3 linked regions of the Diceros bicornis minor genome follow. The protein of the gene in region 1 interacts with the protein of each later gene in a biochemical or structural test. Links are inferred from orthologs where the notes say so. Each region holds a gene or a part of one and is shown in the gene's direction. Other genes may lie near its edges.

Region 1 (10,675 bases):
ATTCACTCATTCTTTCATTCAAGAAACATTATGGAACACCTATTATATGCTAGTTACCAGGGACGCAAGTTCGATAAAAAAAAACTTTGCCTTTAGGAAGCTCATGGTTCAATAAAGGATGCAGACAAGCAAATGAACAGTTACAATGTAATAAGTGTTAAAAGAGACCATGTATAAATAAGGGACAAAAAATGAATTAAATAGTTAACTAGAAGTGGAGACATTTGGGTCATTTACTTTTTTTTTTTTTTTTTTGCTCTTATAAATAGAGAGATGTTAAGGATTTCAACTGCTTCCTGATCTAGAATATTTACTTATGGATATCTATTACATTAAGGTTATAGGAAATCTTACCAAACAAGAAGGAAATCTATTATATACCTCCTCATTTTAATTGCAAAAGCAACCAAGAAAATAAATCCGAACAGTATGAACTACCTAAGACTGAAGACAGGCAAGTTGGAAATTCATTCAACAAATATATATTGAGCACCTATCATATGTCAGGGCCTGGTTTCAAGTGTTTGAGATACATCAGTGAACAAAACAAAGACTGCTTTTTAAAACTTGTAGTTTAGCAGGAGAGCCAGTCAACAATAAACATAAAAAGTAGTAAAATAGATGGAATGTTTGAAGGTAATAAGCACATAGAAAAAAATATTAACAGGGTAAGGGGATTCCAGAAAAGTGGGATGTGTATGGGGGTGGTGGAGGTGGGTGTCAAGTTGCAATTTTAAATAGTATGGTCAAGGCCTCAGTGAGAAAGTGACATTTCAGCAAAGACTTGAAGGTGAGTGAGTTAGCTCTCTTGATATTTAGGAAAGGAGTATTTTAAGCACTGAAACAGCCCCAAGGTGCTAAGGCAGAAGTGTGGCTGGTGTGTGCCTGGGGAAGAAGTAGGGAGACATCTTAAGAAGCAATTGCAGTAATCCAGGTGAGAGACAAAGGTACTGTGGACCTGGCTCACTTGCAGTGGAAGTGGTAAGTAGTCAGTTTGTGGATATATTCTGAAGGCACAGTCAATAAAATTTCCTAAAGGAATAGATGTGGGGTGTGAGAGAAAGGAAGGCATTAAGAATCATGCCAAGATTTTACCCTCAACAATTAAGACGGAAAAAGCTGCAGGTGCAGATGTGAGGAATATCGGTTCAGACTTGGACAGAGTGAGTTTGAGAGCATTGGGGCATCTCAGATCCTCTTGGCCCCTTGCCTGTGGGGCCTTTGGCCACTTATTCTGTTCCTATTGCCATGGGCAACCAATCTCAGGCAGTAACCATGCAACAATACTTTGCCTCATGCTCAGGCCACACATCTCACATGAGGGTCTGTTTGGTGCCCACACAAAAGGGAAGTATGTGCTGGGGAGGAGGGCAGTGTTAACATCCCACTGACTGAACCTTGACCTCCTCTCCTGACTCACTTCTTTTGCCTATCCTCATTTCCCTGGGATTGTACTCCCTAATAAGATAACAGCACAAAAGCTTTTGCCTCAGATTCTAGGAACCAGAACAACATCCAAGAGGAGGTGTGAGTAGGTAGTTGTTTAAATGAGTCTGGAGTTTGGGAGACCGTTTTGGGGAGAAGATATAATTTTGAGAGTTGTCAGCATAACCATTACATTTACAATCATAAGACTGGATGAGAGCACAAAGGAGTGAACAAAAATGTCAAAAAGAGAAGAGGATGAAGATTTTAGTACCTTTGAGAGCAGAAACAATGTTTTACTCCCTGCTATATCCCCAGTTTCTAAAAGAGTACATGACACAAAGTAGGTGCTTGACAGATAATTTTAGAATAAATGAAATAGGTCACCATGGCCTTGGGGTTAGGGAGGAAAGCAAATTAAGTCATGAGAGGTGATGAACTAGAACAGGCAGGGTTCATGGAACTTCAGTTCGTAGTGAGGTAAAAATTAGGTTCAACAGCGGAAGCAAGAGAGAAAAATAACAGGAAAAGGAAGGTGTGGTTAGAGAAAAGCTCTCAGATACCACTTTCTCCTTGAAGCCTTTTCTAATCATCTCATGAGATCTTCCCCCTTTTCTGGACCTCTCTCAAGGCACTTACCTATCTATCTTATCTTATGCCAAGTTATAGCCAAGTGCTCTTCTGTACTCTCATCTCCCCAATATTGACCACATTTTCCAACTGAAAAATTGAGTCATAGATGGAGGTAGCTTCCAAGTCCCAGAGACAAAAAATGGATACTGAAAGTTTGACATTTCTAGTTCATTTCTATGGTTTATGGAGATACTAGAGCAGGATACATGAAATTGCGAGACTAGATTTCAAATCCAAAGTATATCTAAAATGGTTAGTAAAATAACTTGCACTTAAAGAATGGATGATTGAATGAATGAACAAAGTTAGGTGAGAACGAGGCAAGGAGAGCAGAAGTCAAGGAGAACACATAATTTAATAACTGAAGCCCACTGGTCTGAGAGTAGGGCACGAGTGAATAGGGGAAGTGGGCCTGCAGTCAGAAAGCACCCACGAAGTTAGCAAAGTAACTAAGACATGAAGAGACAGAGCCTACATGAAGGTCAGTGTGAACAGGAGAATATGAGGAAATTTTAAAATAAAAAATTACTGTATTTGGTGGGTCGTAAATATAGGCTATGGGTAAATAATTCCAAAATTTGGGTATCATGTATAGGGGCAGGGTAAGAAGAGCAAAGACGATAAACTCAATTCTGAAAATGTATTTGACACAAGGGTGAGATATGCAAGCAAAAGCTAGTAAGAGGCACCACTTTAGTTAACACTCAGTACATGCCAAACACTGTTCCAAGCACACTTGCCAGGAATGATCTCATCTAATTACCACAATAACACTATGATGCAGGTGCTATTACTGTCTTTATTTTACAGATAGGAACCCTGAGGCACAAGAGTGAATAATTTGCCCAAAGTCACATAGCTAGAAAGTGGCTGAGCCAGGATTTGAACCCAAAAATACTAAGAAACTTTGCCCGGAACCACACAGATATTCCTTATTAATTCAATAAATATTTAACAAACACCACTACATTCTAAACATTGTGCTAGGGAGGGGAGGGGAGGTGAAAGCTGGTGGTGAACAAGACAGACGTGGTTCCTACCTGCACGGACCTCACAAGGACGGTAAACGAATAATTACAAGTGTGATGAATCAGAAAGGAAAGTGGTAAGTTACAATTAGGTAGGAAAGTGGGTGACAGAAAAGAATTCCAGGGGAAGGGAATAGCATGTGTAAATACCTTGAGGTGAGAGCCTACGATAGAGAAAAAAAGAGAGAAAAGAGCCTGGAAAAAATAAAAAGACGAATATGGCTGGAGTGCAGACAGCTAGGGGGACAGCTGGGGAGGCTGGGGAGAATGACAAGCCCAGACGGTGGAGGGCCTGGTCTCCAAGATAAGGAGCTTAGACTGTGTCCAGCAAGCCAAGGGAAGCCACTGAAGGAGTTCAAGCAGGGTAGTGACTTGATCGGATTTGTATTTTTAAAAAATTACTCTGGCTGCAGTACACAACTGGACTGGAATGAGCCACGAGCAGTTCTGTAGAACCTGCATGGCAGTTACCGTAGGACTTCACCAAGACATGAAGGTGGCTTCGAAGACAGCGTGATGAAAAAGTGGCCAAAAGATGGGAGAGAGGCCACAAACGCATCGTTTTTTAGGGCCAACAGGTCTCGGTGTTTCTGAGGTGCGTTTGCGGTGCCTCAGGCTTCTGGCTTGACCCGAGCAGATGGAGAGGACGCCCTTTCCCGTCACGGGCCACGGGAGGGGGCTTCTGGAGGGAACAGGACGCCCCAGTCATCCAAATGCGAGCGCAGCCAAGGCGGTTAGAACTCGAGTCCAGAGTTCAAGAGCAAGACGCAGGCCTGAGTTATGGGCGGACGGTCTCGGCAGGGGGTCTCCGGAGCCACCAGAGAGGACAAGCCCACCCAGGAGAGCGTACCTCGTGGGACTCAAGCAGAGGCTGGCTCGGCTCGGCAGGATTCCACACTTAAGAACTGAGGGGGGGCGGTGAGGAGGGAGGAGGGGAGCGGTGACAGGGGCGCCGTGAGGAGAGGGGGCAGTGAGGGGCGGGGGTGGCGCGGTGAGGAGGGAGGTGAGCTGTGACGGGGGCGCCATGGGGGGCGGCGGTGAGGGGAAGGGGGCGGGGTGAGGAGGGAGGTGAGCGGTGACCCGGGCACCGTGGGGGGCGAGGAGAGGGGAAGGGGGCGGGGTGAGGAGGGAGGTGAGCGGTGACCGGGGCGCCGTGTGGGGGGGGGGCCGGTGAGGGGAAGGAGGCGGGGTGAGGGGAAGGGGGCGGGGTGAGGAGGGAGGTGAGCTGTGACGGGGGCGCCCTTGGGGGGGGCGGGGTGAGGGAGGTGAGTGGTGACCGGGGCGCCGTGGAGGGGGGGCGGAGAGGGGAAGGGGGCGGGGTGAGGGGAAGGGGGCGGGGTGAGGGGAAGGGGGCGGGGTGAGGAGGGAGGTGAGTGGTGACCGGGGCGCCGTGTGGGGGGGGGCGGTGAGGGGAAGGAGGCGGGGTGAGGGGAAGGGGGCGGGGTGAGGAGGGAGGTGAGTGGTGACCCGGGCGCCGTGGGGGGGCGGCGGTGAGGGGGAAGGGGGCGGGGTCAGGAGGGAGGTGAGCTGTGACGGGGGCGCCCTTGGGGGGGCGGTGAGGGGAAGGGGGCGGGGTGAGGAGGGTGGTGAGTGGTGACCCGGGCGCCGTGGGGGGCGGCGGTGAGGGGAAGGAGGCGGGGTTAGGAGGGAGGTGAGTGGTGACCCGGGCGCCGTGTGTGGGGGGGGCGGTGAGGGGAAGGGGGCGGGGTGAGGAGGGAGGTGAGTGGTGACCGGGGCGCCGTGTGTGGGGGGGGCGGTGAGGGGAAGGGGGCGGGGTGAGGGTGGTGAGTGGTGACCGGGGCGCCGTGGGGGGGGGGGCGGAGAGGGGAAGGGGGCGGGGTGAGGAGGGAGGTGAGTGGTGACCGGGGCGCCGTGTGTGTGGGGGGGGCGGTGAGGGGAAGGGGGCGGGGTGAGGGTGGTGAGTGGTGACCCGGGCGCCGTGGGGGGCGAGGAGAGGGGGGCGCGGTGAGGGGAGGAGAGCGGTGAGGGGAGAGGGGCGCGGGGAGGGGGGCCGGTGAGGAGAAGGGAGGACGCGGTGAGGGGGCGCCGTGAAGAGAGCAGAGGGGACCACCGCCGCGGGACCTGCGTGGGGAGAGCGCGGGCGACGCCTGAGGGGGCCGGCCGCCGGGATCCCCGCAGGTGCTCGGGGCGGGCGGCCCACGGAGGGGACCCTCCCACCCGGCCGCGCCCGCCGCCCTCCCGCCAGCCTGCGCCCCCGCGCCCCCGCAGCCGCTCACCGCCGCGGGGGCTTTCCGTCCAGCCGCCGGCGCCCCCGGGAATTCCCCGCGGGCGGCGCGCGCCCCACTCCCTCCGTCACACTTCCGCCGGCGGGCAGCGCCCTCCGAGCGCCGCCGCGGCGCTCAGAGACCGCGCCTCCCCTCCCCGCCTCCCTCCCGCCGCGCCCGAGGGCGCCCGAAGACGCCCGAAGGCCTTCGGAAGCCCCGCCTCCGGCGCGCGGGGCGGGGCCGCCCGAGCTTCTCCGGGCGCGCTCGGCTGTTTCCGGGCGCGGCCGCTGCGCACTCGGCACTGGGCGGCGCTGGCTGCTCCCTGGCTGCGGCTCCTCAGTCGGCGGCGGCGGCGGCTGCCTGTGGCCCGGCGGCTGGGAGAAGCCGAGTGCTGGTGAGTGACGCGGCGGAGGTGTAGTTTGACGCGGTGTGTTACGTGGGGGAGAGAATAAAACTCCAGCGAGATCCGGGCGGCGAACGAAAGCAGTGACGGAGGCGCTCGTACCGCCGGTAAGAGGAGCAGGAGGCGGAGGCAGGCGCCGGCCGCCGGGCCCGCGCCGCCCGCTCGGCCTCGCTCGCAGGAGCCGCCGCAAAGATGGAGCGCGGGCGGCCGCGCCGCCGCCGAACAAAGAGTAATGGCGGCCGGGCAGCGGCGGCCGGGCACGGCGGCGGCTCTGCCCGCAGCCAGCGGCGGCGCTCGGCGGGGGGCGGGCGGGCGCGGGCCTGCTTCCCGCGGCGCGGAGCGGAGCCCCGAGCCCCGAGCCCCGCGCCGCCTGCCCGGCCGCCGCGGAGCGCGGACCCTTTGTGCGCGGCCCGGCCCGCCCGCCGCCCCGGGACGGCCGGCGCCCCGTCCCAGCCGGTGGTCGCGGGCTCGCCCTCGGGAGGAGGCCGAGGAGGCTCGTCCGCGCAGCGTTAGGAGACTGTCGGAGCTCGTAAAGGGAAGCTGCGCCTGCGGACGGTTTCGCTTTAGCCCTGTCGGCGAGGCGGTGGCCGCCGCGTCCCGTCCGAGGCGGCGCGGGAGCGCTGTCGCCCGGCGCCGCCGCCGCCGCGCCGGCGGGTCCGCCTCGGCCCCGCGCCGGGCCGTGCCCGCGGCCCCCGCTCCGGGCGCACACCGCCAGCGCTGGCTCCGGAGACGGCCGTTTGAGGTCGTCCCTGTGGGTCACACGCGGTAGGTAGCCCCGGCCCGAGACCGACAGCAGTCTGACCCGCAAGGCGCGTTTTCTCTGCCTGTTGGGAGCAAGGCACATCGGAAACTCAGTGACACGTGCAAGATGAAAAGACAGTTTTCAAAGGACCTGGGATATGACCCAGTAAAGTTTGTCTTCCCTTCTCCAGAAGTTAGAATTTCATCTGCCTGAGCTCGCGGCAGTTCTGTCCTCTGAAGCTTTAGCATAAAAGATACTTTTGGTTGCCAGCTATTGGAATCTTTTACACTCACTGCACGCTTCGTGATTGGAAAGTGAAAGCAAAACGGTTATTTTAGGTGATGCGAAAGGTAAACAGGTTACTTGTTTTAAACATACTAACGTATCACAGTATGATAAAATTGTGATTGATACATAACAAAGTTTCTTGTTAGGAATAAATATTGGTTGGTAACAGATGCACTGTTTTCTGTTTTCTCTGTATCCAAATCACTTTTGCATAATCTACTTCACTGTATTGCAAGTCTTTAAAAAGCCAAATTAGCAATTTGTCATTGCTGAGAAACTTAATTAAGATGTAATAAAGAGAATGTTTCCATAAGGATTGGGAAGATGGGTTTATTTCCAAACACTGAGGAAATTATAGTATTGACGATGCTCTGTTGACTTTTTTTCCTTAAGAAAGATTCTGTGCAAGCCAGCATCAGTTGACTAGAATGTTTTTTCCCCTTAGAGAGAATATATGGCAATGACGCTTCCTTTGTGAAATTAAAAAAAAAAAATTCTGATGGGTTCTTTCTTCAGTTTTGTCCAAAAGATCTTTTAAATTTTATCTTATTTATAAATTCATAATCTGTAATTCTTAGCAATTCCAGGTGAACCTTTTCAAACTTTTAAATTAATTAACATTTGAATATTCACTTGGTGCATGGTACTAAATTATACTTCTGCCCCTTCCCAGGGATCAGTAAAAATTACAGTTAAATCTGCTTGAACCTTTTTTTTCTTTTTATGGACACATGTATTCACAAAGCAAATGAATCTTTGACACAAATTGACCAAAAAATGTTAAAAGGTCACTTCTTGTGGAATTTAAAACTCTAGTGGTACCCATTTTGAATTTTTTTGTTTTTTTCACATACGAGGCTAAGGAACCTTAGAAACCTGATCCGTAAAATGGTACCTCCCTTTTTCTGTTTTCTGAAATTCGTTTTCTTGGTTAGATCTGATTAATAGAAATTCATTTCTTCATAGAGAAGCAGCTGTATTTTGCCTCTCATTGTAAGAGGTAGCATTTTGTTTTGTGGGGTATAATGTGGTTATAGTAAAACCAAGTACGTATCCCCCGCTTCGCCTCATTTAAAAAATCTTTTTTCTTTTTTTCCACAGTAGAAAAAAACTATTTACTTGTAACTTAATGCTTACAATGTATCACTGAAATTTATAATTTCATTTATTCCATAAATGTCTCATCTGATATGGTTATATAAACTTGTTTATAGCCAGCCTGTGACATAGATAGTCTTGTAAGCATCTTGATATAGTGTCACTTCCAGTGATGGCTTCTTTATTGAATAGTGAGAGCTGAAATCTGAATTTAAGGATCTAGTAGATAGTCAGAGAATGGAAAAAATGCAGAACTTTTTTTTTTCTTACTCATGTGTGAGCTCATCTCTACTGCAGTATCACTTGAGACAACAGTTTGTGGTAATTCAGGTATTGAGTTAGCGCTTACTGTGACGGAATGTAGTTAGTGGAAAGAGCATTGGGTTTGGAATCACAGACCTGGGTTTGAATCCTACTGTTGCCATTACTGTCATATGCCTGCCCTCAAGGAATTTTGTTACCTACGGGAAATTTCTTAATCTTTCTCAGCCTTAGTTTCCTTATATGTTAAATTAGAATAATTTTAAACCACCTACTTTATAGGATTGTGACATAATTATAAAGCAGCTCCTTAGGGACTCAATGATAGCTGTTCATTTTTAAGCTTTATTTTAACTTCCTAGCCATGGAGCCTTGGGCAAGTTTCTTCATACCTCACTTTCCTTGGTCATAAATGTACAATAACTACCTCATAGAAATGTGGGGATTAAATAAGTTAATACATATTTAATGCCAGGCATTTCATAAGTGCTCAACAAATGTTTCTTATTATTTTTTAAATTGTTCATCATCATTATTATTACCAAGTTTAAAAGACTAGGCAGAAGCTGCAGCGAATCCCAAGATGAATTACCCTGTCTTATCTGTACCTTCCAGGAACTTTTAGGGACACAGTGACTAATAAGGCAGAACATGTGTCATAAGAAAGCAATCAAAGGAAAAAGAGATCACACCTGGTGAAGTAATGGAAGAATATTTCCAATTTTATTTCTTAATTAATTTGTTCACATAGTCCATAATTCAAAACATATAAAATATAGCAAAAAGTCGTGTGTACCCCCACCCCCAGTCACTCGTGTTACAATTTCTTATTTGTCCTTTCAGAGGTATCTATCCATACACAAGCAAATATGTATGTACTCTCCTCCCCACTTTTTATACAAATGCTAGTATACCATATATACTGTCTTATGTTTTGCTTTTTTTCCACTTAATATGGCTGAGCAGTTGATTTGCATCAGTACATAAAGAGCTTCTTCTTTTTTTTTAGTTATGAGGCATTTCATCATATGGGTATACCTGTATTTATTAACCAGTTAGTGAGCAGATTTTATATTTAGGTCTTATATGACCTTTTAAACTAAGGGGAGCTGTCATTATGTCTTTATTTCTTTTGGTGAAAGACATTTCATTTGAATGAGGTATACCAGTTTGTGACAGGAAGTTGTTATTTGAACTGTGTCATTACCTTTTCAGCTCCAGTTTTTAAAAGTTTTTTGTAACTTGATCGAAATGTTCATGAAGAGGCAAGTAAGCTATGTAAGTGTTAATTCTTAAAGTGAATTTAACTCTCTTGTTGAGGTTCTAATAACCCTGAACAGACTACTTCCTTCTATTCTTATCTCAGCCAAAATAGTCTCTATGGTTCTTTCTCTCTAAATGAGAAAGAACACCACATGGAGTCCAGTCCTTTTTTTTTTAAGCAGACTATTCTCATATGATATTATCATCCAGTAATGCTGATTAGTGTACTTAGCTTTCTCCCTTCGTTTAATTATTTTTTACATACTCATCACCTTTTTCTTTGATGATTTTCTAATATTTCTTAGTGTAATTATCAATGTTTTATTTTTAATAACTGAATAGTGAGTTTCACCAATACAGTTGTCTACTGAGACTTTACTGCTTAGATGACTCTTCTTTTCTTTTTTATTTTTCATTGTGGAAGTCCTTGGTCAGCCAGTTGGACCAAGTAATATTCATTTCGACTAGAATGCAAAACAAGTTTCAGTACCTCTCCTTTTTTTTCTTTTTTGGCTCTTCTAAGCACCATTTAACTATAGTGCATTTTAAATATACCTGCTGTTAATGTATTTATCTTTAAAATACACATGCTGTTAGTTTTTTAAGTTGATTAAACTTAGAAGGAAAATGATAACTAATAGTCCAGCTGCAGGGACACAAATAAGTCCCTTATCTTTCAGAAAACAAATCACTAAATGAAGCTGCTCTGGTACATCTCATTCTTTGTATACTCAAGTTGACAGTTATGTATGCTAAGGTTTTTAATGTAAGAATATTGTCTTATTTTGATGATTTACTAGTATTTTATATAAAATATTAATATGTGCTATTTTTACCTGCTCAATGACTAAAATGTATACAAAACACTTATCTTTACAGATTTAGGGGGTGGAGGTAGATAACTGAAATCTGAAAAGGCTGAAAATTTTCCTTCTGGAATATATCTGTGGGCTACCAGGGAATTAAGTGATTTCTCACAGTATCATGAAATCAGTAAATTGTCTTTTGGCGTGGAGGTGAAAAGATCATGAGCTAAAGCAGCAAACCGACGCTGTGAAAATCGCCAATTTAATACATATGCTAACTTAGTCATTATAGAAGAGGTTAGCCCTGGTCAACTTTCTGAGGTTGTAAGAAGAAAGTATGGTTTTAAACTTATTCTACATTATCAAATCAGTAAATGTAGGTTTTTGGGACATATTTGAAAGTTGGATGAGAATTTTGTTTGTTAGTGGTGTCCAGTGGGATTCCGACTCCTAGCAACCTTGTGGACAGCAGAGCAGAACGCTGCCTGATCTGTTTGCACCAT
Region 2 (10,121 bases), on another chromosome or scaffold:
CATCATAATCATCCGGGGAGCTTTAAAAAAAAAATCCCAAAGTCCAGGCGCTGACCCAGACCAATTAAGTCAGACTTTTCAGAGGTGGGAGTATTTTCTTTAAGTATCCCAGGTGATGCCAATGCGCAGCCAAGGTTGAGAACCGCTGATTTCTTTATCTATGTTACCGCCAGCTCCTGGACTCCATCCTGTTCTCTCAGGCTGGCAGTTGATTCCTGGCTGGGCCCCAGGGTCACTGATTTCAACCAGGTTGTTGCCCAGCTGCTAATCTCCAACCCCAAGGGGGAAGGTCAGTTGCTAGAGAAAGACGTTTAACTCTCCTGATTCATGCTTCCTAACGCCACCCAGCCCCCAGTGCTGGTCAGCAGTTATCCAGGCTGCCTCGCTGTATTTCTTCCCCACAGTGACTCTTCTGGACTGTTTCCACTATCCTCAAATCCCCAGGCCATCTCTTCCCATCTTCCCTATCACCCAGCACAGGGCTTGCGTCTCTGAAATAAACTCTTTGCTACATGTGTGCACATCTGAGTGGTTTCTAACTATCTGCAGGTGGCATGAGCTCATATGGCTTATTCCTGCTTTACTGAGATCGCACCCTCAGTTGGCTCTTCTTTTTATACCCACTCTTTAAATGTAGGTTTCCAATTCTCTCATTCTTTTTATTCATTTATTCAACAAATATTTACTGAAGGCCCACTTTGGGCTAGAGCCTATTCTAGATGCCAGGGATACGGAGATGAGATGACCAAGATACCCCCAAGTCTAACAAGCTGGTCCATGCCTGCCTCCAGCCCCTCCCCGCTCTCTCCAGCCACAATGCAGGACTTGGGGCCTCCTCCCATCAAAGGAAAACCTCTCAGAAGCTCAGGCTCCCAGCCCCGCCCACTTTTTCAGATTCTCTTCATTGGTTCTCCAACCCCTACCCAGTCCACCCATCCCATCACCATTCAAACATGTTCCAGTATTTCTCATCTTAAAAAACAATCGAATAGGGGCCGACCCGGTGGTGCAAGCAGTTAAGTGCATGTGCTCCGCTGCGGCGGCCCGGGGTTCGCTGGTTTGGATCCTGGGCGCGCACCGACGCACCACTTGGCAAGCCATGCTGTGGCAGCATCCCGTATAAAGTGGAGGAAGATAAGCACGGATGTTAGCCCAGGGCCAGCCTTCCTCAACAAAAAGAGGAGGATTGGCAGATGTTAGCTCAGGGCTCATCTTCCTCACACACACACACACACACACAAAACAATCGAATAGAAAATTACTGTTAGAATATCACAGTCTCATAACTGCTGTAGGCAGATCCACCAATGGATGCTAAAATTAGTGGGAGAAAGCTTAAGAAGAAACCAGATATTTGCATAGTCTAAAAGTATCTCACACGTCTTCCCAATATTTATTAATTACAATGGGAAAAATAATAATTTAAGAGTAGAGAAATCTGGCAAACACCACCTTAACCAAGTGTTCAAGGTTAACATCACAAGCAATAAGAATATAAACTTCTTCTACTCCTGGTATGATGAATTGATGAAGAGCACATCATCTCTGTGGTACTCTTGCCAAAAATGTGTAATTTCAATTTAATCATAAGAAAACATCAGACAAACCCAAATTGAAGGGCATTCTACAAAATACTTGACCAGTACTTTTCAAAAGAGTTAAGGTCATGGGAAGCAAGGAAAGACTAAGGAACTGCTACTGATTGGAGGAGACTACAGAGCCACGACAACTAAACCTAATGTAGGATCCTGGATTGGATCCCGGCACAGAGAAAGGACATGGCTGTGTTCCAATAAAACTTTATTTATGGACGTTGAAATTTACATTTCACATAATTTCCACATGTCACGGTATACTCTTCTTCTTTTAATTCTTTTCAACCATTTAAAAATATAAAAACCATTTTTATGGCAAAGTGGTGAAATCTGTAGAGTCTGTAGTTTATTTAAAAATTTTGTACCAATGTTAATTTCTCAGTTTTGACGATTGAACCATGGTATGTAACATATTAACATTAGGGCAATCTGATTAGAGGGTATGTGGAAACTCTATACTGTCTTTTGCAACTCTTCGGTGATTTAAAAACTATTTGAAAATAAAAAGTGAAAAACAAAAAAAAAATCTCTCCAGATCCTGGCAGCTAGCACCTTCTCTATTTTCCTTCAGAGGCAAACTCCTTGAAAAATATGTCCACATACACTGTTTCTACCCCTTCACCTGTCATTTGCTCTACCAAAACCACTTTGAATATTGTCACCAATGGCACCCAAGTTGGCAAATTCATGGGCTCTTTCCAGACCTCATCTTGTGTGACCTCTCAGGGCATGTGACACAGCTGAGCACTCCCTCCTTCTTGAAACACTTTGGCTTCCAAGATACAGAACCTTCCTGGTTTTCCTCCTACGCCTCTGGCTCCACCTTCTCATTCCAACGTCTCAATGTTGAAATTCCTTAGACTTCAGTCATGGGCTCCTCTTCTCTTCCTTCTGCACATTCTCTCCCCAGGTAAACTTATTCATACTTCTGGCCTCAAATACCATCTCTATGCCAAGGAGTCCTAAATTTATATCTCTATCGTACACCTCTCTGCAGAGCTCCAGACTCATATAGCCACATAGCTACCTAATATTGCCATTAGATGTCTCAAAATTAAACTCTTGATATTCTCTCTGATATGTGCTCTTCCTTTAACTCACCCCTCTCATTAGATGGTACCACCATCCTCTTCCATCCACTCCGTTGCTCATGCTAGAAACTTTGGTGTCATTTCACATATACCTTTTTCCCTCACCCACCAAATCTAATCCTTCATGAAGTCAAAAATATATAATAGAAGCATTCCATTTGTTTCCATATCTACTGCACCCACTACCATCTTTTGCCCAGACTACAGTGATAACCTCCTGACTGGTCTCCCTGTATCACCTCTCACTCCCTCCAGCCAGGTCTCCAAATACTAACCACAGTGACCTTTTGAAAATATTACCCCAATTGTATCATTCCCCTGTTTAAATTCCTCCTATTGCTTCTGACTTCACACAGAAAAACTCCAAAAATATTAATAAGGCGTACTACACACTTCATGCTTGGGTCTCTACCTGCCTCCCTCACCTCATCTCTTGCTTACTTACTGTATGATGGCCCCATTGGCTTTCTCTCAATCCTTAAAATACAACAGGCTCTTTGTCTGCCTCAGGTCTTTCTTTGCATCTGCATCTTCCTAGAATTTGCTCCCCGCAACAATTCACTTGTGAAATAGTTAGGGTAGGCTAGATTATGTTTTGGTAGCAAACAATCCCAACATCTCAGTAGCTGATGCCTAAAAAGATTTATTTATTGCTCACATCATGGTCTGATGCAGGTTAGGGTAGCTCTTCTTCCAGTGGGGACTCAGGGGTTCAGGGTTCTTCTAAATTATGGCATCTCCATATTCAAAATGTGGCCTTTGTAGTTGTTGTGGAAAGAGAAGAGAGTGTGAGTGAGTACGCATGGGGTTTTCTGACCAGGCCTGGAAATGGCACACATCATGTCTGCCCACATCCCATTGGCCAGATCACAGTTACATGACCCTCGCCTAACTGCAAAGGAGAAAAAAAATGTAGTTTTCCTGTGTGTCCAGGAAGAGGAAATGAGATTGGTAAGCATCAGGCCAGTCTCTGCCACATCCTCGTTAAAACCTATTTATCTTTAAAGAATCAGCTTAAATAACACTTCCTTATAAAGGCTTTCAAGTTCCTCCAACCTAAATTAGGCCCCCCAATACATTCTATTGTAGCATCCTATAATTTTCCTTTACAGCATGATCACATTGTAAAGTTTACACTTCTGTATGTGATTATTTAATATTTATTTCCATTCCTAGACTGTAGGCTCTGTGAGAGCGAGGACTGTATTTGTTTTGCTCCCACTGTCCCTCTAGCATCTATCATGGCACTTGGTGTATAATTGGTGTAAAAGGTGTCGAGTGAACAAATGAACAATTGCACACATTCTCCGGCTCCCATAGCATGCTTGCTTTCTCCTTGTGGAGGAGAAAGACAAGTAAGTAGGAAGTCCTGGTTTACTGGGATAGATGTTCCAGGCAGGTAAGCCCAGGGAGCTGAGGCAACCTGAAAGGGCTGCCCAGGCTTCTCAGCTTTCTTTTCCGTGGCGGTCTGATCCAGGAGTCTGCAAACTACGGCCTGCAGGCCAAATCTGGTTCACCGCCTGTTTTTTAAGAGCTAAGAATGATTTTTTTTTTTTTTTTTTTTTTTACTCACTAGATTACTGATTTATTACAACGGACATTAAAGGATACAAATCAACAGCCAGAGGAAGAGACACACAGGGCCAGGTCCGGGACAAAGGAGCTTCTGTCCCCATGCAGCTTGGGGCCCAGTCTGGTAGCACATGGAAGCATCTGGTTCCCCAATGTGGAAGCTCTCTGAACCTCCTCCTTTTGGTTGTTTTTTTTTTTTTTTTTTTAAATGGTTAAAAAGAATGAGAAGAAGAATATATCACGACATGTGAAAATTATGTGAAATTTAATTTCAATGTCCATAAATAAAGTTTTATTGGAACACAGCCGTATCCATTAGTTTACTTATTGTCCATGGCCGCTTTCCTGCTACCATAGCGGGGGTCGAGTAGTTGTGAAAGAGACCATGTGGCCCGCAAAGCCTAAAATATTTACTATTTGGCCCTTTACAGAAAAAGTTTGCTGACCTCTGATCTAATCCATGCTTAGTTTAAAAGCCTACTTCTATGTGAATTACGTCCAAGCATCCATCTTTAACCCTCTCCTTTTCCCATTCTCATGTCCGATTAGGCCCTCAAATTCCATTCTTGCAACAGTATTCTTCCTCCTTCTCACTAAAACCGAAGCTAACATCCAAGAGAACAGCTTTGATATTGTAACTATTCTTTGAGGCTTCCCATCCTGCACTCGTCTGCACTGCTTAGCAGCGTAGTCAAAGTTCTCCATTATCTTAACGCACTTTACTTTTTTAGCTGTTATCTCTTACATCATAGTTCCACCCAGCTTTATCAATCACTTAACCCACCCTTGCCTTCTCTACTTCCAGGCCTATGCTCACAGTTACCATCTCTGTAGGAAATGTCTGTTGCTATTTCCATCTTACCTATCCTTTAAGTTGGTTTTATCAAATGCCTCCTTGCCCTAAAAGCATTCCCCATCTCCTCTGCTTAGAATAATTATTGCCATCTGTGCGATTCTCTAACAGTTTGTACGACGGTTTTATTTCAAATTCTGCTTTATAGTTTCCTGTGTATATACACAGATTGTTTCTAATGTTCTGTTGAAAGCAGCTTAGGGACCAGGATTGTATTCTATTTTATTAATCTCTGTATCCTTTTGGTGCCTAGGATAAGACTTGTACAAAATGAAAATGCCTATCCTTTGCAGAAGTCTTCATCGAGTGCTAGGACTGTGAATCTTTGCAATGTCTAAGAACTATCTCTAAGCACAAACTCCACTTAACTTGCTTAGGGCTCACTAGGGCGAGTAACACCTTTTTAAGACAGCCTGTCTTCCAGCTGGTCACACACCTGTGGATCGCTGTCCGAGACCCTCAGGCACGTCTGCAAACACGTGAGTGAGAAGCGCTTTCCTCCACGCCCCGCCTCTGTCCACGGTGATTGGCGGACCAAACGTTCCAATCAGCCTTCCCCGCCTCTTTCAGCAGTATCCAATCACAGACCCGGAGGGCCTCCTGACTACTAGATACTGTTTACTAACAGATCGAAGCTGGGGAATAAGGGGTGTGACCGTTCTGGGAGGTCAGGGAAGGGAAGGGAAGGTCCAGACTGCGCGTGCACACTAGGGGAAATGGGCGGGGCAGAATCTCGGGTCTCACCAACCGCAGCGGTCGCGCTCCTCCCTCTCCTGCCTCCGCGCCAAGCAACAACAATTCGAGGAGCGGGGCGGGGCAGCTCGCGCAGCGTCAGAGCGGACTGCCCAATGGGAGCCGGCGTTGACAGATGCGCGCGCCCTGTGCCCAATAAGCGATGGCGGCTCGAATGGCTCTTCTACCTTGCTGGCTGTGGGCGGAGCGGCTTGACGGAGGAGGCGGCGGAGCAGGGGGCGGTTTGGTTGCGCGGTACTAGCGGTGCCCGCCGAAGGGGGTGGAGGCGGAGGAGCGAGCCGTGCGGCCAGAGCGGGAAAGAGACTCGTCTCAGCGTCCGAGTTGTGGAGCCGCCGCACCCCGGCTCCTGGGGCTGCAGCAGGAGCTGTGAGGGGCCGGGCGTCCGCTGTCTCCCGGGTCCCCTCGTAGGACCCCGCGGGATCCGAAAACGGAGAAGATGGAGGAGGAGGGTGGCAGCGGCGGCGGCGGCGCGGCGGGGACCAGCGGGGACGGCGGCGCCGGGGGAGAGCAGCTCCTCACTGTCAAGCACGAGCTGCGGACGGGTGAGCGACCCCGCCCTCTGCCGGCCGGGCCCGGCGCGGGGGCGCGCCCCGGGGGCACGCGGGTGCCGGCGCGGGTCGGGGGGCGCGGGGCCGGGCAGTGGGCGCGGGGGGGGCGGGGCCCGGCGGCCCGGGCGGGGGCCGGGGGTCCTGCAGGTGGGGGCGCGCCGGCGGGGAGCGGCCGAAAGTTTCCTGGAGCCCGGGAATGAGCGACGGGCGGGGGGCGCGGGGGCCCGCGGAGCAGTGTTGGCACTCGTCTCCGGGGATGTCTTCGCGCCCCCTTCCTGCACAGGTGACACATCTGTCACTGCATCCTGTCAGGGGTGAAAGGTGCGCCTTCCTCGGTGTGGGGTCAGCGACGCTTTGTTTTGGAGAGTGATTCCCTTCTCCACCCCTCTGCTTCCCTAGAGGTGGTCCCGGCGGGGGTTTGTGGAACTGTCCCCTAAGGTGCTTTGAGTCGTGTACGACATAACAGGGTGGCTGTCCCTCGGGCTTTTCATGAGTCCGATCTCCAGTGAGATAAAGAGGGATCGTAGGCTTCGGGGACTGAGTGCTTTTATTTGCAATTATTATGAAATGCTATACTTGGCCTTGAATTTCTTTCAAAGGTCTCTTGAGAAGACGGCTCTTTAAATGTAAAGCTCTAGGTAAAAGCGGCTGACTAGCCGGCTTCAGCGTTTACGTTCTGGTGTTTGAGATCACTAGAGTTGTCACAATCGTTATACTTATTGGATTACTTTATTCGTTGTGTGGGTCCAGGTTCTTCATTTTGGAAAATGCTTATTTGGACTCATCAGTACAGTTCGGGTTTATATTTGTGGAGCGCAGTCTCCTATTAGAGATACTTTTTCATTTTTGAACGGATAATACATTTTAATGAGTTGTTCATTATTACTATGAAATGTTCTCGTGAGCGTGTGTTAAGGTTTTTGACTCAGCTTCTTTGGCGTATTGGGATAGTCTTTTATTGTGTGGACACAGCTTATACAGCAGGTTTCAGATGTATGCCGAGTACACCTTGTTACTGTTTTGAACAGATTGTAAAGTTAGATCTGCCCTGGGTCTTTTAGTTTTTGTTGTTTCTAATGAGACTATGGTTAGCTTTCCACTGAGTGCCAGTGTGGTGACTGTAATTTAAAGGGGATATCAACTACATGCTTACTTATTTCAACATTTTTGAACACTGTCTTTTTCATCATTGTGAATTTGTTATGTATCTTGAGGCTCTTACTGCATAATCTTTTTGAGTTCCTAACATAACCTGTGTAGGTTTGGCTGGTTTGATTTTTCTATCTCAATTTAATAGACAACTGATGTTTTCAAAGGGCTGTTAAGTCATTTATTCAATAAACATTGATTCAGTATTAATATCTGATTTGTGCCAGGCTCAATGGCAGGTGCCTTCTGGTGTGGAGATTTTGAATTTCTTTTTCTTATCTTACATAACAAGTCACTGATTTATATATGTAGAATCGTGCTGTACAGCAAAAGCTACTTGAGATCATATGCTTCTCAGCTGTTGACCATGGTGCAACCAAGCAGCTTTTTGCTAAATGACCAAGGAGCAAACCTACTTGTTATTAGTAGTCAACCAACTACTCTGTTTCTGGGTTTTGCAAACAATGCTAGTTTTATAGAAAACAATGAATACTGCTTTATTTTCCCTTCTCTACTAACTGTGTGAATCATCAGCTTCAAGTTTGCACTTTAGAAATTTCTCTGATGGATGGTGAGATTATACTGAATTTATTAGTACTGTTAACTGTCAAAGGAAGTGAGCAGTCATTTTGATTTATTGCTGAACATTGGAACAACTGACCGGATATAGTGGTCAAAAACACTGTTAAAATATAACTTGCAAGATTCACTCATCTTCAGCCAACTGTGCTCCTCTTAGCACATGATGCTATAATAGGCACCAAAGTAATTTGATCTGATGTGGTCCCTTCTCAAAATGTGGACAAGCGTATAGTCATATCAAGTCAGCAGTTGGTGATTTCCCATTTGTGCCCAACACTGTATTCTGTGCCGTCGGATGGATGAAAAGGCAGTAAGAGTCACATGTAAAGACATGGAAATTGTTCCAGTTGTTTAGACCAAGTAGCATGGCATGCTTGGAAAACTTAATTCTAAATCCCAGCTCTGCCACCCAATAGCTATGTAGAGTTGGGCAAGCCGCTTCACTCTTTCAGACTTACTTCTCTCAAGTACAAAATGTGAGAATTTAATGAGACCCTGTTGGAAAAGTGCTAAGCAGGTTGCTTGGTGCGTACGTATTAGGCACTCAGGAGATGTTGGTTGAATGTAAATCTGAAAAATCACTTTATAACAGTATCTTTTCTTAAAGTGTGTGAATTAATCCAGTGTAACTTGGAAAACAAATCACTCATTTGGTGCTTAGGCTATGCCGCATTGCCAAGCTGTTGCCTCTCTCTGTACATGTCTTGCTTTCTGAAGTAGAGTGTAAACTCCCCACGATCCCTGCTGCTGCGTAGCAGCCTGTGCATAGCGCCTCAGTAACATTTAACACACCGTACTGTAACAATTGATTTACTAGTCTGTGCTAGACGGTAGGGTCCTTGAGGGCAGACACCATGTCCTTTGTCCATTTTTAGCCCCTGGCGTATGATAGGTACTCAAATATTTGTTGAATGACTTCACTGAATGGATGAAAATTCAGGACCAAGTCTAACAGTTTATTGTATTCCCAGTACCTTGGAGGTGTTAGGTGGTTGATGAATTGATGACAGTGACTATAAAAGCCAAACAATGAAGAGTAAAGGATTGATAAGATCAGTTAAACATAACATTTCTTGAACACTTTCTGTTTTCTAGGCTAGATGGTCCTGATGATACCAAAAATGAGCAAGAAAATGTCTTGCCATCTGATAGTAGGGGGGAGGCCATGTAAACCAGACATTAGAATATATTGCCATAAGTATAATAATAGAGGGATATTCAGAGTATAAAGGTAGCAAAGAAGAGGTTAGGACTTTGAGGTTTCAAGTAATCTAACTCTCTGTTGAGCAATAGCAACAAAAAAAGAGGGGGTTATTGGAAGAATACTGGGTTATCTTATCTGTGCATTTATTCCATAAATATTTCATTACCTCTTATGAGTGCTGTTTTAGATGCTGGGTTTCCAAGACAGATATGGTCTTCCCACTGGAAGGACAGGGTTTCATCAGGAATCACTGGAAGCAGAGGCTTATGTTGTCTGAACTCTCTCCATCTTGAATCTTTGCTTGTCTCTGTGTGATGGCTTCATTCTTCTCCACTGCTGTCCAGCTCTTTCCAAATGGGAAAGAACATCGTTTTGACAGACCCCAAGTTTTACATCTTACGGCTTCAGGTACTGGAGAAACACTGCCTTTTTCTGAGCTTTAGATATAAAAATCTCAGAAAAGAACATTATTGGCTTGGCTTTCGTGAGGTGCCCTCTTTCGGGTGATTCATGATTCTTTGGATCATGTTCCGCTAACATGACAGCTACGACAGTAAAGGTATTGATAGGGGTGAAACTAAACCCTTAGAAGAGGAAAGATTGCTGGGAAGACATTTCCTTAGATGTCCATCATTAGGAGAGAGCTTAACACTGAGGAACGGGTCAGCGAAGGGCTATCAGTTATCTATTGCTGTGTAACAAATTACCCCAAAACTTAGTGGCTTAAAGCAACATGATTTCTGTGGGTTGGGAACTTAGGGAGTTGCTTCACCT
Region 3 (10,354 bases), on another chromosome or scaffold:
ACCAAGCATTCTCAAAAAGAAAGACATAGCCACCAACGGGGTGAAAATTGGTACTGAGGTGGGAGGGGAATGAAGAAAATATCACTGTTTTTATGCAAAAATCACAGATATAGATACAATATATAAACAGTATATTTGTGACATTAAACTTTCATGTGGGGGGGGCAATAAGGAAAAAGTCTAGAAATACTCCTTAAGGGTGTGATAATGAAATAAAGGCTGAGAAACACTGCCCTAAACAGAATGCAGTGATATAGTTAACTTTACTCAGAAAAATATGGTCATCTGTGCTAGCATACCCCGGGGAATAGAATCACAGATCAGATCGTTTATGGCTTCTCATAAGACCTTATACTTTTGCACAGTATACACTTCAGAAAGCCTTGTTAAAAAGCTAGATTACTTCTATAACAAGTGTGTAAAAGTTATAATGGACCTTAAAATAGCAATATCTGAGATATATATCTTCTGCTTTTAAAAAAACATGCCCAACTTTGGGCAATCTACAGTTCCCATTTTAGATTAGACTTGATGTATTTTGCTTTACTTTCATCCTAGAAGTTCCAAAATAATGCAATAAAGTAACAGTTGATGACTTCCATATTCATTATTACATATATAGTTAGCCAGTTATTTGCCTACAAAAAGCTTATTTATCAAGTATCTGATTGTAACCAATTCTCATTCAGAATAGGTCAAATTGTAGATACAAATTATTCTAAATCTAAAATGTCACAATGAAAATACAAACTAGGGACCAATTATCTGTTATCATAATAATAATACAAATAATTACTCTTCAATCAACGTTAGTTATTGTTTCTCCTTTTTACTCCTAAAAACCACTTTAGAGTAAAATAACTATATATTTTGTGTAAACTTACTGACAAGGATGTTCCAATAGGTAAGAAATAAGTTTCCCTTTTTCTTAATACTGTCTTCTGCCTGCTTTTCAGTGGAGGTAGTAATGAGAAACAAATAGACCGAAGGGGAAACATAAAACGAAAAAGAGAAGGAAAGATAAAATCCTATATCTAAGGTATTCAAATTGTAGAAATTGGGATGCCCAGAGTCTGCTTTCTCTTCTTCCTATTTATAGAGAAGGAAAGATAAAGAGAGAGGTGCCTGATGAAAAGAGCAAGAGACAGCAAATCCCCCTACCTGAAAATATCTCCTTCACATATTTTAATAATTTCCCAGAAATATCAGTGGTTTAATGACCTTAAAAAAATGTTAAATAATTCTTGGGAAGACAATTTATGGTGCCTTACATTACTAGATCCACAAATAACAAAGACAAAGTCGCTGTCTATAAAGAAGTTATGATCTACTAGGACCCAGAAGATATATATGCAAATAACTATAATACAAAGCAAAGGTGGTACAATAGAACTTACTTCATGTGAGGATAGGGGCTAGAGAAAGTATTACCAGACTTGGGGAAAATTATGCATGTTTCAAGGAAGAGGTGAGTCTTGAAGGATGATTGGGGAATTCCAATGAAGCTGATGGAAAGCATACAGGGAGAGCATGTTTGGGGAACATGCCCAGTTTGGATGAGAACAGCTGGAGATAGAACTGAAAAGACAGAACAGGGAAGGACCATAAAAAGTAGTAAATGTCAGCAACAGCATTATATTTTTATGAATAAACAGAATAAGAATAAATAGAATCTGAATAACAGAAAACAGAATAACAGAATCTGAATAAATGATAGATATTATTCAGTAGACAAAGGGGAATGTCATGATCACAGTTGCACTTTGGTAAATATTTAACAAATATCTATAATGTCTTAGTGATATAAAGGTGAATAGGACTAGGTGCTCTTAATCTTTCAGGGTGTGCCAGTCCTGGTTCTGTTCGTCTTCAAATCTATTCTTCCTCTTTCCCCTGCTCTGCACTGTATGACAGGAAACCTGACCCCAAGCAAGCAATGTTTCACGTCAGCTGGCTTCTGGCTGAGTTCAATCAATGGGAAGCACCGGTGGGAGACTGGAGGGCAGCTGGAAGAAGCCACGTTTTTCCCTCCCATTCCTTCTCTGCCTTGGTAGAATCTCTTCTACAACTACTGCTCCTTCACCAGACAACTCTACCTTCTATCTTCCACACAGTGAGCCCGGCCTCTGGGTTGCTTCGTCTCGCACTGTCCTCCTAATTATCACAGTGGCTTCTTGCTTTGCTACCCTCTGAGTTGTCTCATGTAAGCGGCTTGTCTTCTTAGCTTTTCTATCACCAGTGTAACTAATTCCCTCATTAAATCCCTCCATGTTAAATACTCAGATTGTTTTGTTTTTCTGAATGGACACTGAATCAACACAGAAAGGAACAAACCTATTTAGGAATCTAAAGAAAATTCTGGATCTTTGACCCATAAAAATGACTCACTTGCACATAAACCTTTATAGATAGTTTTGGGGGCTCCCAGAACTCTCAAAGCCTGTCCATTAATCCCAGATTAAGAATACTGAATAGGACACAAAGGTGAGTAAGTTTCAGTTTGTGAAGATGAAAAAGTTCTAGAGGTGGTTGATCGTGATGGCTACAGAACAACGTGAACGTACTTAATGCCATAGAACTGTACTCTTAAAAATGACTAAAATGGGGGCTGGACCGGTGGCACAGTGGTTAAGTTTGCGCAGTCCGCTTCTGGCAGCCCGGGGTTCACAGGTTCGGATCCTGGGCGCAGACCTACGCACTGCTTATCAAGCCATGCTGTGGCAGGTGTCCCACATAAAGTAGGGGAAGATGAGCATGGATGTTAGCCCAGGGCCAATCTTCCTCAGCAAAAAAGAGGATTGGCAACAGGTGTTAGCTCAGGGCTAATCTTCCTCACACACAAAAAATGACTAAAATGGTTAAATTTTGTTTATGTATATTTTACCAAAAAAAAGTAAGTAAACACACAGCTACAATAAAACACAGTAAGGGTATAACAGAAGTAATGTACAATGCTACAGGAGCATTTAATGAGAAAGTAATAACTGTACCTGCTGGAAAAAGTTTCAGAGATTACGTCTGAACCTTGAATACAAGTGTACTAAGAGAGGGAGAAAAACACTGCATGCAGAGGGAACAGAATGCATTAAGAATATTTGGAGAAACTGCAAGTAGTTTGGTATGCCTGGAACACAAGGCGGATGTTGAGAAGTTGAGATCGAGCTGGAGAGGCAGGTAGGATCAGTTCCACAGAGCACCTTGTGGGACATACTGATAAAAAACAAACAGATGGCCAGAGGCAATAAACAACGCATTGATATATTCTGGCCTGCACAATATTTAAAGAAATTCCAGTAAAGGCTGATTAAGAGGAGTAGTGAGGTGCAAAAGTCAGTGCAGTATGTTGAAGAATGAAAGGTAGGTGAGGAAGAAGAGTACTAAATAGAGTTCATTGTTATTTGAATAAATTTGACTTGTGAAAGGGTGACATAGAGCACGAGACAGAATGTGAGGTAAGGTCTAGGAAAGTATTTTGGGGGGTGTGTGTGTGTGAAAGGGCAAAAAACCTAATTATATGAACTCTAAGGGGAGAACTTACTTCTTTATTCTCAGCATTTGGGACAGTGTATGGAACATACTAGGCTCCCAAAGATTTTCTGAAAGAACATTATAAAGAGAAGGCGCCAACAACAAGAGAGGGGATGAAGATGGGGAGGGGGTACTGACAGAAGAATCATGAGCAAATAATAAAATTAATATTTTAAGCCACTAAGTTTCTCTATGTACTGATATGAACTTCAAGGTATATATCGCTAACTGAAAAAAATAAGACGTGAGTATGAGATTTGCTTTTTTTGTATTATATATTCTTTTGCACAACTTGAAATTTTTGGTTAAGTGCACAATTGTTTCAACTTTTAGAATAGGAGGTGTAATGTGACTGCTTTAGGCAACTTTTTGTAACAGTAAACAAGATAAATTGCAAGACTATATGAGAAGCCATGACAAAAGTCCAAAAGAGAAGTAATGGGAGGTATATTGCTAGGATTGGTGACAATGACCAATGAAATGTGAATGACAAAGAAGAACTTTAGGATAAGAAAAAATGACTCTGGAGTTTTCACCCATCAAAAAAAGAGTAGGAAGTCAAGTGAAGCAGCTGCTTTGTGGAGAATAAATTCACAAGTCGGTGTGAATTATTCCAGTTAGAAACTCATACTCTTTCTTAAGACCAGTGTTGTTAACTGAGGGTGATTTTGCCCTCCACGGAACATACTGGCAATATGTGGAGACATTTTCATTGTCACAACCAGGCAGGGGTGCGGCGAGGAGTGGGGTCCTACTGGCATCTATCGTATATAGGGCAGGGATGCTGCTAAACATCCCACAATGCACAGCACAGCTTCCCCATATTAAATAATTACCTGGCCCAAAATGTCAACACTGCTGAAGGTGAGAAACCTTGTTGAAGACTATGGTTATTAAAACAACTGGATTACCAAACTACCAAAGCTCAAAAATTCTTAAGTAAACAATATGCATGGAGTAAAAAATAAAGTATGTCAATGTTATCATGAACATTGTGAAAGTCTACTTTCAACTGGTTTCAATATAAGCCTAATAAACATAGAAATTACAAGATAGCCAGCTTTTTCTCAGATACAGATGTAGGTTAACAGTTGATATTCAGTTTTGATAAAGTGGGCAAAACATTAACCAAACATTAACAAAATGTTAGTTTAAACTTAAGTCATTAGTTTCTCCAAATATGGGTAGTGGAACCATTACTCTAATATTTCCTGCAAAAGGTCCTTATCAAGAGCCCGTGCACAAACACCATTTTTTTGGGACAGGGCTGAATATTTAAAAAAGAAACAAGACAAACAGGTTTTTCTAACGATAAAATAATGTAGTAACGGCTGTGTATACTACAGGCAGTTTCTTCACAGATGTTTACCATTTACTTTCAGGGGCATCGCATACGATGTCTGCAGACCACTGGCTCAGGTTTTGAGCTTTATGTGGCTCTCGTTCCCAGCAGTACAATCCTCTCTATTCTTTCAGGGGACAAACAACAAAACCCGTTTCCCACACAGACAATACACTCTGACAAGTGGCCCGTGGAACTAACCCTCCTCAAATGTAGGAAAAACTAACTAGGACTAGAAAACGTTCAAATGGAAGGCATTTCCTCAGTGAAATTTCTTGCTAACCAAAAGAATAAGAATGGCTGCTGTTTTAAAATACGCAACTGGCATTTCAAACCTCTACACTGGACGACTAATGGCGGGGGGAGGAGGATGGAGAGGGAAGGGCACCCCGCTTCGTCCCAAATTGGTTGTTCTAAGGGCGAGTTATGAGAAGGGCGTCAGGAAGGTCTTTCTACAAAGCTGGGTGGCTGCGGAAGTCCTTATTTTTCCTAATTTGGTCCCAGCTCTGACAAGGGAAAGTGCGCCCACGGTGCAAAAATACGCAGTCCGTCCGTCACGTAGACAACCCTCCTGCAGGGGTCCCAATTAAGTGTGCAGGCCTGACTTTCCCTCGGAATCCGGGCCTCAGGTGTTCTCTTCCCTCGCCACGCAGCCTCCGAGGAGAGACTATCCCCCCCACCTCCCCACAAAGAGGCTCAAACTGCCCGAGCCCCCTGCTAAAGGAGAATCACCGCCAGTCTGAACTTGTCGGCGGGGAGGCAAAACCCCGAAGCTTCCCCACCCAGGGAAAACCTTTGGCCCCAAAGGTCCCTTCGTCCTGCTTATCCTGGCCCAATATCCCTCCCTTCCGCGTCCGCGCTTACCCAATACGAGCCGGGCTACGTCTGAAGGTAGCAACATGATCGAAGCCGCAGAAGGAACCACAGTAAGAGACAAGACTCAGGTAAAAGGCAACACAGCGACAGCTCCTGCGCCGCATCTCCCGGTTCCAGTGGCGGCACTGAACCCGCGGCAAAGTGTCCCGCCTCTTTCGCTCCACGCCAGCCAATCACTTCCGCACGACAAAGAAAGGCGCCGAAATGAAACCCGCCTCCGTTCGCCTTGGGACTGACGTCATTTCCGTCCTCATATTTGGAGGGGTGGGGCTGAAGGGGGCGAGGAGGTGGGGCGCAAGCGCAGAAGCAGGAGCCAGAGGGCGAGCCCCAAACGCAAGGTCGCTCGCCATTGGTGGGCAAGGCGCAGGCGCGTTTCCTTAGACGAGCCGAATGTTTTGGGGCAGCGAGTGTTTGGAGCGGACTGGCGCGTGATGCTTGGCGCGCATGGGCAGACGCGCCGCATGGTCTGCCTTACTTCTTGCTCCCGAGTCGGAAGCTGCGCGGTCAAGCCAGGTTTGAACCGGAAGCGGGAATAGTGCGTGGACGCCTGGATCGAGCTGCTGTTGCCGCGGGGGACGGTGAGTGGGGCGGGGATTTAGGCTGCAGCCACCGCCGCCCCCAGAGATTACAATTTGGCCACCAGAGACCAGCGATAGGGGCGCGAAAGCCACGCAGTGGCTTCTGCGTGGGGGAATTCAATCGTATCCGAGCCGTTCTGCCCTAGTCCCCAGTCACCCAATCTCATGCGCTCCTCCAGAGCGGCCCTTTACTCCTCTCCAAACCACGTCTTTGCCGGCCTCCTGTCCTCATCGCTTTCTCCCGCCCTCTCTCCGAGCCCTTAGCGGACTTGGCCATGAACCTTCTTCTAAATGCCCTGAATTGAACCCCCCCTGCGCGTCCCCTTTCCCTGTCACTTTAGAGTCCAGATTTAACTAGATGACGTGACTAATCATCCTTTTTTCTCTCTCTCATAATTAGTAGTTTTAATCAGCGAGCATTTGTTGAGGCTTAAACTACCGTCGCGTGGTTAAGAGCGTGGGCTCTGGAAACACACTGCTGGAGTTCGAAAGGTGACTGTCTGTTATGTGACCTCGCCGTACGGATGTGATAGCCTTGCGTGTGGTCAGAAGTCAGGAGCGTTCGCTGCTGTTTTTACCAGGTACAGATAAGTAAAAAGACTGTTACAACTCAGGGTGATAATGTGATGGAAGAGTACTGTGATGGTAGAGGAGTGAATGAGGTTCTGTGGAAATTGAGCCTGGAAGAATCAATTTAGTTCGCAGTGGGCCCTCGCAGTGTTAAATTGCTCTGGAGGATGGTAGGAGCCTTCTAGACAAGGGAAAATGCATGTAAAGGCACAAAGTGTAGAAGGTTCCTGAAGCTCAAGAGTGAGGTTTGGCATTGAATAAAATAGATTTGGGTATTTTCAACATGTTGAAGTCATAGGAATGGATGAGATCACACTGGGAGAACATAGAGTGAGAAGTAAGGAGACAAGGATGTTCTTTCAGGTGTGGGTGGAAGAAAAACCATCAAAAGAGACTCATGAAACCATCAGAAAAGGGGGCCGCCCCGTGGCTTAGCAGTTAAGTGCGCGCGCTCCGCTACTGGCGCCCCGGGTTCGGACCCCTGGCGCGCAGGGTCGCACTGCTTCTCCGGCCATGCTGAGGCCGCGTTCCACATACAGCAACTAGAAGGATGTGCAACTATGACATACCACTATCTACTGGGGCTTTGGGGGAAAAAAGGAGGAGGATTGGCAATGGGTGTTAGCTCAGAGCCGGTCTTCCTCAGCAAAAATGGAGGAGGATTAGCATGGATGTTAGCTCAGGGCTGATCTTCCTCACAGAAAAAAAAAAAACAAACCATCAGAAAGGGAGGGAATAATGATAATTGCTAACATTTATTGAGCATTTGCTGTGTTCCAGGCACTGTGTTAAACATGTACATGAATCCATAGATAACTCTTTGAGGTAGATTCTAGTGTTGTTTTTCATCATTGAGAAAACTGAGGTTTAAAAAGATTAACTAACTTGCCCAAAGTTATACAGCTTGTAAGTGGCAGGGCCAGGATTTGAACCAGTACAATCTGGCTACAGAGCCCACACTCTTACCACTAGTAAAGAGTGGCATGCCAAGGGCAGAATTATATCCAGGAAGATGGGATGTAGGCATCCTGGTCAGATTCTACAAAGGGATCGACTTAGTTGAAATCTAAAAAAGAACATTGAATTTGTCAATTCAGAAGCTGTTACTTAGCAAATATGTATTGTTTCAGTTGCATGTTGGCAGTGGAACCTAGTTAGTTCTGGATTCATGTATTAATTGAATTCAGCTTTATCTGGTGACACTTACTCTAGCTGACTACTCTCTAGTTCTTTGGTCTTCTCTCAGTTCCTCCAATATACCATGCACTTTTCCATCTTAGGACCCTCTGGCTATGCTATTCTACTTCCGTAAAATGTTGGTCCTCTAGCTCTTTCTGTAATTGGCACCAGTTCATTCAGATCTTGGCTTTATTGTAACCTCCTCTGAGATGTGTTCTCAGTTTATCAAAAGTGGTCCTCTCCGTTGTTATTATATATTTGTTTCCTTTGAGTCATATATCACAATTTGGAGTTATACATTGATTTATCACTATACTTGCTTATTGTCACTCTCCCTCACTAGTTATGACTCCACGAGGTTAGGATTTGTGTCTATTTAGTTCATTATATGTTTAGCTATCCCTAACATAGTACCTCAAACACAGTAGTTGCCTAGTAAATATTGTTGCATGTATCAGTGAATGAATATCTCCTGTTTATATAGATAATACTGAACTGTTGTGTTTTCTTGAAAGCAATCAATGTTTGAGAAATGGAAGGAGGAAAAAACAAGTTCAGAAAAGCCACAGCTTAAAAAAAAAAAAGTTTAAGGCTGCCTCTTCCTGCAAGTATCACATGCTCAGTAAACATGCATTTTTTCGCATTACAAATAACGTCTTTAGTATATTTAGGAATAAAGATGCCTGCTTTTATGGTGCTTTGGATATTGCTAAGGTGTTTTCATTGGCTAGAATTCCAATTTTATTTTCCTTATTGACTCAATCAAGAGGGCTTTAAACTAAGATTAAGCAAGAAGGGGGAAGAGTCTTAGATAAAACCATAAGGAGTGGAAAAATAAAAATGACAGTACATGTACTCCAGAAGTATACAATCAAATGAAAAAAATTATCAAATACATAACAACCTGTAATCTACAGCAGAGTAAAGGAGGTTTTAATAGGGATAAAGGAGTCAGAACAACCAATGAATACAAATGGACAAGAGAATTAGAGCTATCTGCCAATGAAATAGATAGTTTGCTCTCACTGAGAGTGAGGGATTTCTTCTTTTGTAGGAAGATTGGACATGATCTTTCAGTTCCTCCCAATTTTAAGATTCTGTGAGATTAAACAAGGGCAGAGAAACATACTTGATCTTGAAAGATTGAGTAGAATTTGTGTGGATGGATGGGAAAAGGACTTTCCCCACCATTTTTCCTCTTGAGATATGTGCTCGTGTAGGTATAATAAACATTTATATGTACATTTTTTCTTTGTTTATAAACTAATAAAAATGAAGCTTCTTTGTAAAAAGGTGCAGAAATACTAAAACAAAATGCTTTTCTTGTAAGATTTTTTTTTTAAATTAGGGTTTGATCATGTCAGAAAACCTAACAGCAGGAGGGCTACTGTGATGGCATTAAGGCATAGTAAAATATAGTTGACCTTTGACATTTGCAAGGGATGTCGTTATAGCATATAATTTCCTTCATTTCCTTTTAAAACAGGAATATCATTTTCCTCCTAGTTTTATGTATTGAATGAGAACCGTAAAGCCAGTTGAGTGCTAGGCAAGACTTACTAGCTCTGATAACCTCCTACATATCCATTCCAAAGCATAAGCAATTTAAACTTTTGCCTCAGCAAACTGGCAAGTCACTAAATTTAAGAAAGGATGCTTTTAAATAGTTCAGCCAGTCAGTGTTAAATCCTTAAGTGCTCTTTTCCGTATTCTTTGTCTGACGGTCCTCTATTCATCTTTTATGTTTCAATTTAAATGTCATGTTTCATAGAAGAAGTCTCAACAATAAAGTAAATTATACGTTTCGTATTTTTATTCTGCTGCTGCACATGAAGCACACATTTTCGTGTTGAAGTTTTGTTATGTTCTAGGAAAATATCATTTAAATATGGAAATGTTAAGAAAAATCATTGTGCCTTTGATCACAATATGATTAGTTGTACAGTTAGATCTAACTATGTATTAATACCAGTCTGAAATAATTTTATATCTATATGTTTTTTTACAGGCAATGATGTGTTTTCTGAAATTCTAAACCATGAGTCTAGCACTTCATGATCTTCTTATGTGCTGCCGACAACTAGAACATGATAGAGCTACAGAACGAAGGGTAGTAAATTACTTAAATTTAATCTTTCCTTGAAACAAGTGTGTGATTGGTAACCCATTGTTATGTTCTTTTTTTAATTTTCAGAAAGAGGTTGAGAAATTCAAGCGCCTGATTAGGGATCCTGAAAACATTAAACATTTAGATCGGCATTCAGATGCCAAACAAGGGAAA

Evidence for each region.
Region 2: of the proteins of CREB1 (region 1) and RPS6KA5, one has a biochemical effect on the other in vitro, tested with the Homo sapiens proteins (3 studies listed by BioGRID, with this or other methods). The link is inferred for Diceros bicornis minor from reciprocal best matches to the Homo sapiens genes CREB1 and RPS6KA5.
Region 3: of the proteins of CREB1 (region 1) and ATM, one has a biochemical effect on the other in vitro, tested with the Homo sapiens proteins (2 studies listed by BioGRID). The link is inferred for Diceros bicornis minor from reciprocal best matches to the Homo sapiens genes CREB1 and ATM.

The regions. Positions count from the first base shown.
Region 1 is NC_080749.1:84,403,155-84,413,829, forward strand, and holds the start of CREB1 (cyclic AMP-responsive element-binding protein 1), read left to right. Parts: upstream 1-5,621; 5' UTR 5,622-5,705; intron 5,706-5,711; exon of another isoform or gene 5,712-5,821; intron 5,822-10,675.
Region 2 is NC_080763.1:37,091,086-37,101,206, reverse strand, and holds the start of RPS6KA5 (ribosomal protein S6 kinase alpha-5), read left to right. Parts: upstream 1-6,114; 5' UTR 6,115-6,300; coding exon 6,301-6,406; intron 6,407-6,707; exon of another isoform or gene 6,708-6,733; intron 6,734-10,121. UniProt on the Homo sapiens protein: Serine/threonine-protein kinase that is required for the mitogen or stress-induced phosphorylation of the transcription factors CREB1 and ATF1 and for the regulation of the transcription factors RELA, STAT3 and ETV1/ER81, and that contributes to gene activation by histone phosphorylation and functions in the regulation of inflammatory genes.
Region 3 is NC_080746.1:27,548,381-27,558,734, reverse strand, and holds the start of ATM (serine-protein kinase ATM), read left to right. Parts: upstream 1-6,142; 5' UTR 6,143-6,324; intron 6,325-6,724; 5' UTR 6,725-6,905; intron 6,906-7,674; 5' UTR 7,675-7,719; intron 7,720-10,081; 5' UTR 10,082-10,111; coding exon 10,112-10,183; intron 10,184-10,267; coding exon 10,268-10,354. Other genes in the region: protein NPAT, read right to left, coding at 5,735-5,771.